Linked DNA regions of Chlamydomonas reinhardtii. The protein of the gene in region 1 binds, or shares a complex with, the protein of each later gene. Links are inferred from orthologs where the notes say so. Each region holds a gene or a part of one and is shown on either strand. Other genes may lie near its edges. The genes, in order: CHLRE_06g255450v5 and CHLRE_10g465900v5.

What was found.
Region 2: CHLRE_06g255450v5 (region 1) and CHLRE_10g465900v5 share a complex: the UniProt entries of both Arabidopsis thaliana proteins name them as parts of the DREAM-like complex. The link is inferred for Chlamydomonas reinhardtii from reciprocal best matches to the Arabidopsis thaliana genes RBR1 and CDC2.

What each region holds. Positions count from the first base shown.
Region 1 is NC_057009.1:939,645-943,974, reverse strand, and holds the end of CHLRE_06g255450v5 (uncharacterized protein), read right to left. Parts: coding exon 4,123-4,330; intron 4,000-4,122; coding exon 3,375-3,999; intron 3,238-3,374; coding exon 3,020-3,237; intron 2,890-3,019; coding exon 1,810-2,889; 3' UTR 501-1,809; downstream 1-500. Other genes in the region: CHLRE_06g255500v5 (uncharacterized protein), read left to right, coding at 1-346. UniProt on the Arabidopsis thaliana protein: Key regulator of entry into cell division. Acts as a transcription repressor of E2F target genes, whose activity is required for progress from the G1 to the S phase of the cell cycle.
Region 2 is NC_057013.1:6,430,104-6,434,656, forward strand, and holds the start of CHLRE_10g465900v5 (uncharacterized protein), read right to left. Parts: upstream 2,860-4,553; 5' UTR 2,604-2,859; coding exon 2,595-2,603; intron 2,484-2,594; coding exon 2,299-2,483; intron 2,213-2,298; coding exon 2,092-2,212; intron 1,921-2,091; coding exon 1,871-1,920; intron 1,716-1,870; coding exon 1,592-1,715; intron 1,113-1,591; coding exon 978-1,112; intron 789-977; coding exon 589-788; intron 364-588; coding exon 207-363; 3' UTR 1-206. Other genes in the region: CHLRE_10g465950v5 (uncharacterized protein), read right to left, coding at 3,485-3,667, 3,917-4,150, 4,345-4,553. UniProt on the Arabidopsis thaliana protein: Involved in the control of the cell cycle. Essential for both G1/S and G2/M (mitosis) phase transitions. Functions in cell morphogenesis as well as cell proliferation.

The DNA.
Region 1 (4,330 bases):
CTCCATGCCCCAGTCTCCCACCGTCGCCCCCGCTGCGAGCTCCTCAGCCCCCGCAGCAGCAGCCACGGCGGCCTCGGCCACAAACGACGCGCCCGAGGAGGACACTGACCTGGCCAGTCGGCTGGCGGCGCTGGTGGCGGCGCGCCGGCTGCCTGTGCTGCTGGTGCACGGGCTGTACGACAAGCTGGTGCCCGCCTCCAACAGCCAGCGCCTGGCGCGCATGCTGCCGCCCGACTGCTGCGAGCTGGTGCTGCTGGACCGGTGCGGGCACATGCCGCAGGAGGAGATGCCGGGGCTGTTTGTGGACCTGGTTGCGGAGTTCGCGGCGCGCGTGCAGGCGCGATGAGGCACCCTAGGGCGGCGGAGGCACGAGCCGGGGGGCTTTGAAGCGGCCTTGGAGCGGTTGCGGCCAACCTCCCACCATTGCGGCTCATGTTGTGTAGCGGTGGGGCGGTGAAGGCGGATGCGGAGTTGCGGACGTGTTGTGTCAGGTGGGAAGGCGGGTTGGATCGGGGGGTTGCAGATACCAGGGGATGGGGCGTTGCTGCTAGGCAGGTAAGGCGTTGGTCTCGTCCGAACCAGCCTTCGTAGGGAGCATTTAGTGTGACTGCTGTATGTCGAGAGACAGGCGCTCTTGAGATCAGTGGTGCTTTAGATCTTCCTGGATTTCCTTGCACACGATGCTCGAGGATTTGTTGGGACGTTACATGATTGCTGCTCCAGACATACCGTAATAGCGCTTCTACTGAAGGCGTAGGTTTCGGCCCAGCTGGAGCACACCATGTAGGTTCGTGGGTCTGTAGTCATTGTTGAAGTGTAGGAAGGAAGCCAGACTGTGCGGCATCCTTAAGCTGCTGCCTGACAGTGCTGTACGGTATCAGACGCGCGGTGTCCATTCCGCATTGGGACATGTCCATTCCATTGGTATAAGTTCAAGCCAAGCGTGTACTGCACACGCATGGACCTGCTCCCAAGTGCAACCAACGGGAGAGACATCGCATCAGTGTAACCGAGAGCAAATCATCCAATAGCCCGCTTACGTGTGGGCTCATCCACCGCTCACTGATCGAACAAGACCATTCTGCATTTTGGATGACCGGATATCTCGCGAGTCAAACTAATTAATGATGATAGCATTCGTAGGTACACCGGCGCTACTAAGTACTACCGATTCGGCCCTCCGCCATCCGCGTCACACCGTCTTTACACCGGCACATCTGCAATGCGTAACATCTTTTAGGTGATACACGCTCCGCGCATCGGGATACGTACTTGCAACCCACATCCGACAACAGCGTCACACCAAGCCGGCCTACACTATTGGGGGAAGCCAGATATGTGGCGGTCCCCTCGCATGCATAAGCTTGGTGGAAACGCCATTTCAGTTCCGTCGAGTACTGTTGCCCCCTCCATGCCCACGCTGTGCAACAGGTTCGCTGGTCACGGGTCTGAGCACACACGGCGGCAGTGGGGCCCAAGCCGTGGGCACAATGCAATGGTGGTCTGCGATTCCCTCCCATCATGCGTTCTCAATCTCTGTTTGACAGTGGGGTGTGCGTAGTCATTTTAGGGTATCCAAATGAATGCGCAAACAATGCGTCAGGCGGACTCAATCCCAACGCATGCCTCTAATCTTTGCAACCGGCCACCATGCCGGCGGGCTAGGAGAGTGAAGATCCGGTGGCCTTGAATTGAAGAAGACCTGAAAGAAACATGCACGAATCCAAAACTATATCTTCAATGCCAATTCCTTGCTTTCAGCATTCCCAGAATGATGGGCTCAACACCTTACACCTCCGGCCGCGGTGCTCAATCCGCCCCGTACCGCCGGTTCGGCGTGCGCTGCCGGCGGCCGGTGACAACGGTCTGCTGCGAGAACTCCGCGTCCATGGAGGCCTCGTCCATGTCGTCGCGCGCCTCCGTGTGCCGGCCGCGGCGCTCCCGACCCGTGCTACGGTCCCGCGCCGTGCGACCCGATCGCGTGACGCGCGCCTGCGGCTGCTCCTCATCGGCATCGACCTCCTCTTCCTCTTCCTCCTCCTCGGCGCCGTTCTCCTCGGCGGCCTTCTGGCTGTCCAACGCCTGCAGCAGTGCGGCCAGGCCCTCTGGAATCTTATGCTCAGCACTGCCACGGCCACCGCCGCGGCCGCCACTGCCACCACGACCGCCGTTGCTGGAGCGGGAGACCGGCACGGGCCCCGTCGGCGTGGGGTGGCCGCTTCCCTCGCTGCCCTTGGTGGGTGAAAGCGCGCCGCCGCCGGTGCTGCTGCCGGTGGGGAGAAGCGGGTGCAGCAGCGGCATGCCCAGCTCACGCTCGCCGCCGCCACGCGCGTTGCCGCTGGCAGAGCGGCCAAGCATGCGCGGCGCCGCCGCAATTGCACCCAGCAACGGCAGCTTGGGGCCCCGCGGCGACTGGCTCGCGCGGGGTGGCAAGGGCGGCAGGCCCGGCGGCATGGCGGAGGTGGCGCCGACGCCCTGAGCGGGCGCGGCGCCGGCTGCCGCGCCAACGGCATTGCCGCTGTTGCCCGCAGCGGCGTGCTTGCTGTCGCCGCCCAAACCGGGTCCGCTGGCGCCCGAGCCGTTGGATTCGCTCTTGAGCAGGAAGTTTCTCATCGCGGGCACAAACACCGCGTTGTAGAAGCCGATGATGTCGGCGCGCGACTGGATCTGCAGCGTTGGCAGCACCTGGTCGATGACGACCGAGCGGAAGATCGACTGCTGCGCCTGCGGCTGCTTGCGGTACTGCGCGATGATCTCGCGGAAGGAGACCTGCGACAGCTTGTGCACCTTGCAGTAGCCGTACAGTGTCGACAGCATGATCTGGTCGATGTGGCGGTTGTAGAACAGGTGCGTCTGCTTGTACAGCGCATGCTCAATGGCCTCGTACACCTACGGAAGACGCCAAGGGAAGAAATTGAGTCGAATAGCTCGCCAGTGCGCGGGACGACGCCACCACTTCAACAACGCGGCCCGCCCATACTCCAATCCGGCAATATTCAGAGCCCCCGTAGTCACCCACCTTGCTGTTGACCTCGGGCCCCTCTAGCGGGCTGAAATCGAAGTTCTCGCACAGCAGCGCCAGGCGGAACGACGTGAGCTTCAGCACCTTGCGCAGGAACTCAAAGAGCAGCCCCGCCTGGCCCTGCGCCGCGCCGGCGGCAGGAGGGAAGCCCACCGCGTTGGGCAGCGACTCGATGTAAGACTGTGTCGAGTGAGCGCCGCCGTCCGTGCCACGGGCTGTACGGAAGACAAACAGGCAAAGTTAGGGCGTGATCGCTAAGTGGCATGGACGTGACACGGATGCCGGACGCACACAACGTCTCCTGATGATACTGCTACAAGCATTGGATGCGCTCCATAAGTCAGTCACTCACCCTTCTTGGCCGGCGACATCATGCCCGAGAACGCCACGCCCTGGCTGCGCTTTGGCGATGGCGGCGGCGCATGGCTGGCCGCCGGCGCCGCGGGACTGGCAGCAGCCGGTGGTGCAGGCTCAGCTGGGGCCGCAGGGGTCGTCGACGGTGGCGCCGAAGTCGCCGCGCCCGGCGCACCCCCCTCTGCCGTCTCCATGGGCGGGGCGCCTCCCGACTGCTCCGTATTGTGGGATGATGAGGCACCTGGCTGCTCCGTGCCGCCATCCGCGCCGCCCTCCGCCGCAGCCGCCGCGCCCGCACCGCCCGAGGAGGATGACAGGCCCGCCCGGCTGCCTGCACCGTCGTGCTGCGAGTCGTCGCCTGATGCCGCCGAGCAGGCTGCGGTGGCCGCCGCCTCCTGCATGGCCGCAGCTGCTGCGGCGGCCGCTGCCTCGTTCTCGGTGTGCACGTTGACGATCAGGTGGTAGAGTGACGAGCCCGGCTCCCAAGCCAGACACTCCAGGATCTTCTCCTCGATCAGAAACAAGTGGCGCTTGAGCTCACGCGGCAGCGTGGCGATGCTCTTGACGAAGGTGCCGATGATGTTGGCCATGTCGAAGGCCTTGATGCGCAGCGCGTCCAGCACCTGCAGCGAAGCGGCGAGACCCCTTTGTGACATGCTCAGAGACTAAAAATGCTTTCCATGCCTCATGCATTTCCATTACATGCGCGTGACCCAACTTCCCAACAACCCAACAGTCATGCGCACATTGGGAAAGGCGCAGGAGACCATGCGGTAGCAGGCCGCCACAACCTCAATGCAGCAGGCAATGAGGCCGCGCTGGAACTTGGCCGAGCCAAGCAGCGCCAGCGCCGCCGGCAGCCCGTTGGTGCGCTGTTCGTTCTGCAGGATGGTGTCCAGGCTGTGGCAGTACAGCTTGGTGGCTTCAATGCGCCGCTCCGCCCCCAGCGAGGTG
Region 2 (4,553 bases), on another chromosome or scaffold:
TAGTCACCGCATAGAAAGTCCATTTGCACGCCGCCGTATCCGTATATCTCCTTGCAGCAAACAATACGCCCCTGAGACCACGCTTGCGCCAGCAAACCTATGTCCAGCCTGCCCGCGCTCACACCGGCACTTTCAGCCAATATGGCACGGTTCTCCACCACATGAAACCACCTGTCGCTGCACGCCGGCACCGGTGCTGCTGCTCATCAGCGCATCACGCCCATTCCGCCGCCCATCCCTCCCATCGCCCCCATGCCGCCCATGCCACCTCCCATGCCGCCCCCGCCCGGCGCCACTGCGGCCCGCATGGTGTCGCGGATCTCGTTGAAGTAGGCGTGCTCCATGGCCGCGCTGGCCGTGATGCTGCGGGGTAGCGGTGATGGGTGGGAGGAGGTGCTGAGCCATTCCGTTGGTGAGGCAGTTTTGAGAGCAAATCCAACGGCATGGGTGACGTCAAGCACGCACACTGCACATCAACCTGCACACGCAACCATACCGGCATGCTCTTTGAGACACGCCCGTGGGACACGCCCCACACTTTTCCATATACGTGCGGTATGGCTAACCCCGGCCCACATTCCTCCTCACCGGTGCTGTGGCGTGTACACCAGCATGCGCGCCAGCAAGTCCACGCCCTCGGGGCTTAGGGTTGGGACCGCTGCCCCCAGGTTCTGGGGGCGCCACTTGGGGAAGGTGTCCTTGAAGTCGGGCAGCGCGCTGCAGCCCGCCCACATGGCCTCATCAGGAGTGCCCAGCAGCTGGAAAATCTTGTGCAGCTGGTCAATTTCCTGGGGGAGGGAGGCAGCCAGGCGGGGATGTGTGGAGTTATGGAGTGCGCGGTGAAGCCGAGGCGCGCCGTTGCAAAACACACCCATCGCATCACATGTGGTCCTAGCCTACAGAGAGCAGCCGTGACTGCGGCTCCCCCATCGTGAGGTTTTGCGCTCCAGCCAACATGCCAGTCAGCCCGCACGCACCGAGTCGCCCGGGAACAGCGGGCGGTGGTTGACCATCTCGGCAAAGATGCAGCCGATGGACCAGATGTCCACGGGGGTGGAGTAGGTCTTGCTGCCCAGCAGGATCTCGGGTGCGCGGTACCACAGTGTCACTACCTGTGATGGGGGTGCGGGGGCGAGCGCGTCAGCAGCACCAAGGCAGAGTTCGGCATCGGGCATCGGACGGCGCCAGTGCGATGCGCACATAAACCGAAGCGTCGCTGCGCACTTGGCAGCCTGCGAGTGCTGGTGCCCTAGCAGCAGCAGTTGCTGGGTGGGCGATTGCATCCAGAAAGCGCACACACTCCAGTGCCCAACCCTGCATCCGCACCTTGCACCCAAGGCGCGTGCGGCCCTTCCCGCCTCAACCTCTGATACCGCATACTAGACCAAGCTCGGCCAGCCGGCCTGCCATCTCCTGTCCAATCATTACGCTGTCCTGACATGTCCCAACCCCCGTCACGCTGCGCTGCCACCTCCCCGTCAAGCCGCCCCGCCATCTCCCATGCCCCCGTCACGCCGCCCTGTATTGTCCTGCGGCTTGGTGTCTTTGGTTTCTTACTAAAAATGGTGAAGATAGACCCTGCCCTTCCCACCTCGTGCGTGTAAGCGCGCACGGGAATCCCGAACGCGCGCGCCAGCCCGAAGTCCGCCAGCTTGAGCGTGTTGCGCGAGCGGTCGATGAGCAGGTTCTGCGGCTTCAGATCGCGGTGCAGGATACTGCGCAGGGCATTGTAGCATGTGGCAGGGCAACGATGGGACGTGTTGCATGATCAGCTAGTGCTAGTTGATGGCGACGCAGGTGGGTACAGTCATGAGGTGCCTCCACCTGTTCATGTGTGATATCCCTCACGTGCCTGCCAGTTGCCACTCACCGCCGCGAGTGGCAGAAGGCGATACCGCTCAGCATCTGCCACATGTACATCTGCACGAGCGCGCAAGGTTCTGGTCACGATCCAGATTTATCCAAGATTACCGACGGCGAAACCCCATGTCGCACTCTTCCCACCCAGCACGCACCCAGCTCCCACCTGCGGCGCTTCACCCGACGCCCTTTTGCCGCCACCTGCCCCCGCTTGTTTTCCCGCTAGCACACCTTGATGACGCGCTGATTCCGGCTGAAGTTCGGCGTCTGGTCCATCTGCTTTTTAAGGTCCAGGTCCAGGAATTCGAACACCAAGTACAATCGGCGGTCGCTGTAGAGCACGTCGTAGAGCCTGTAGGGGGCGATATCGTCGGGCTCGAGTCCTCTTATGACTGCCCACACGTCACCAGCGCAGAGTGTCGTGCGAAGACTGCTCACCGGACAACATTGTCGTGGCGCAGCTCTTTAAGGAACGAAATTTCCCGAATGGCTGTGCTAGGCACGCCCTCATCCTCCTGCTCCAGCCTAATTTTCTTCAGCGCTACAATTTCGTTGGTGTATCGGTCGCGAGCTTTGAAGACGACACCATAAGTGCCCTCTCCAGCCCGCTCGAGCTTCTCATACTGCGCACATTTCAAGGCAAGCATGTAAGCGAGTAACAGCAGCCGCGAACTCCCCTGGAAGCCTGAAGGAGGAAGAGCTGCCGATTCCGCATTCAAGAGAGCGTGCCGCACCTTGTCCATGATTAGGCCCCCAGCGCCACCTGCAGGCGGGCCAAGTGGCCCGCGAGCAACTGCGGCCAGTCTTGCTGCGCCTCCGACCCTCACTCGACTTCTAGCAGGGTGCTCTCCAGGTTACTGGCCAGTTTCAGGGGCTTGGCATGCAGAGGATCGAGGTTAAGGTGTTGTTTTCTGCTAAACACGCGTTATGGGTGACGCTTTATGTGCAAGGATCGCTGTGCGGGTACCTGGACGACTTCGCGCCATTTCAATCGTGAACTGATTTTTGTTTCCCACCTTACCCATAACCATGCCAGTCCAGGCTCGACTATCATAAAGCAAACAGCAAGTTTCAGCGTTGAAAGCTTTGCACTGGCCGTGCCAGTACACAAACTCAAAACTTGCCCGCTCGTTTCCTCTTCTCGGCCGCACCCTCTCCTCGTCGTCCGCCCGTGACGCCTGCTGGTCTAGCCCCTCGAATCACCTCACGTAGATGACTTACGTGCATGTTGACTAGTTCCAACACTGCTTGAGGTGCTGGAACGAATGCGGGAGCTGTAGCAGCACCTACAGCAGCTACTCAGGACCGGTCAAGGCTGGGTTCCCCCACGCGGGTACCACTCCGGTCATTTGCTGTCCCCAAACTTTGACAGCCTGATAGACCCCACAGGAATCATCTGTCAAGGCCGCCAGCATACCCGCGGCTTCGTCTCGTTGTGGCTACTAAGGTCACCATTGCCTCACTCAGTAGTCTGAGCAAATGGCTCACAGCGTCAGCACCGCGGACATGCCACCTACTCCGCGCCGCCGGTCCCACGCAGCTGCCCTTCTCCAGGCCACCCAACCAAGCAACCCTAGCAAGCACCACCGCCCCCGCCGCCTGCCGGGCCTTGATTTTGGCTTCTCTAGTCGGGGCGGTACTTCTCGTGGCTCTTCTCCGCGGGCAGCGGGCGGTTGAAGCCACCCTTGCGGTTCATGTACTGGCGGGCGGTGCGCAGGGACTTGGTGCGGGTGCCGCTCAGCTTGGCGGCCTCGTCCTCCACCTCCTTGCCGGCGGTGGTGTCGAAGGCAAAGGGAATGCCCATCGCCTGTGGTGGATCAGGGGCGAAGCGGGTGACGGGAGGATGGGCGGCGTGTGGTGGAAGTCGCTGTGCGGGGTGGACGCTAGTCGCAGCTGGCGTGACCAATGTACGGTACCGGTATGCGACTCGTTTACCCATGCCAGCCCCCGCGCACCCACTTCCCCGTCCCCAGCACTTACGCCCCGTTCCGTTTACCGCGCGCTGTCACTAGCAACCACGGCCGCAACCCCACCACGCCCGCCGTAACCTCCACACCTGCATCATGGCAATCTCCTCGGGTGAAATGTCCGCATCCAGTGCCACAGCAGGCGCCTGCTCCTCCTGCCGCCGCGGCTCCTCGCCGTCCTCCATGCCACCGCTCGACCCGCCCCGCCCGCGGCTCTTGCTGCTGTGCCGGCTCTTGTCATCGCCGCGGTCCCGGTCCCGATCGCGACGGTCACGGTCACGCCGGTCGCGCGAGCGAGAACGTGAGCGGTCGCGGTCACGGCGCTGCGAGGGTTCGGGCACAAGTGCGTGGCGACTTCAATGCTCCGGGTGGCAACTGGTCGTCCTCCCTCGCGGCTTCCCCGGTTTTCCAGTCCGCACACACACGGGCAGACGCTGGCGGTCCTTCCTCCAGCCGCTCGGTCTCACTTGCCCCGCCCAATCCCAGCATAACCCCAGCACACGGTGGCCGCACTCACCTCACGGTCCCGGTCTCCGCGGTCCCGCTCTCCGCGGTCCCGCTCTGAGCCGCCTCGCCGGTCGCTGCGGTCATGGTAGTCCCGCTCCCGGTCCCGGTCCGGGTACCGCTCGACGCCGCCGCCGCGGCGGTCGCCCCGGTCCCGGCGGTCATACTCCGGCCGCTCCCGCTCCCTGTCCCTCTCGTGGTAGTCCCTGTCGCGGTCCCTGT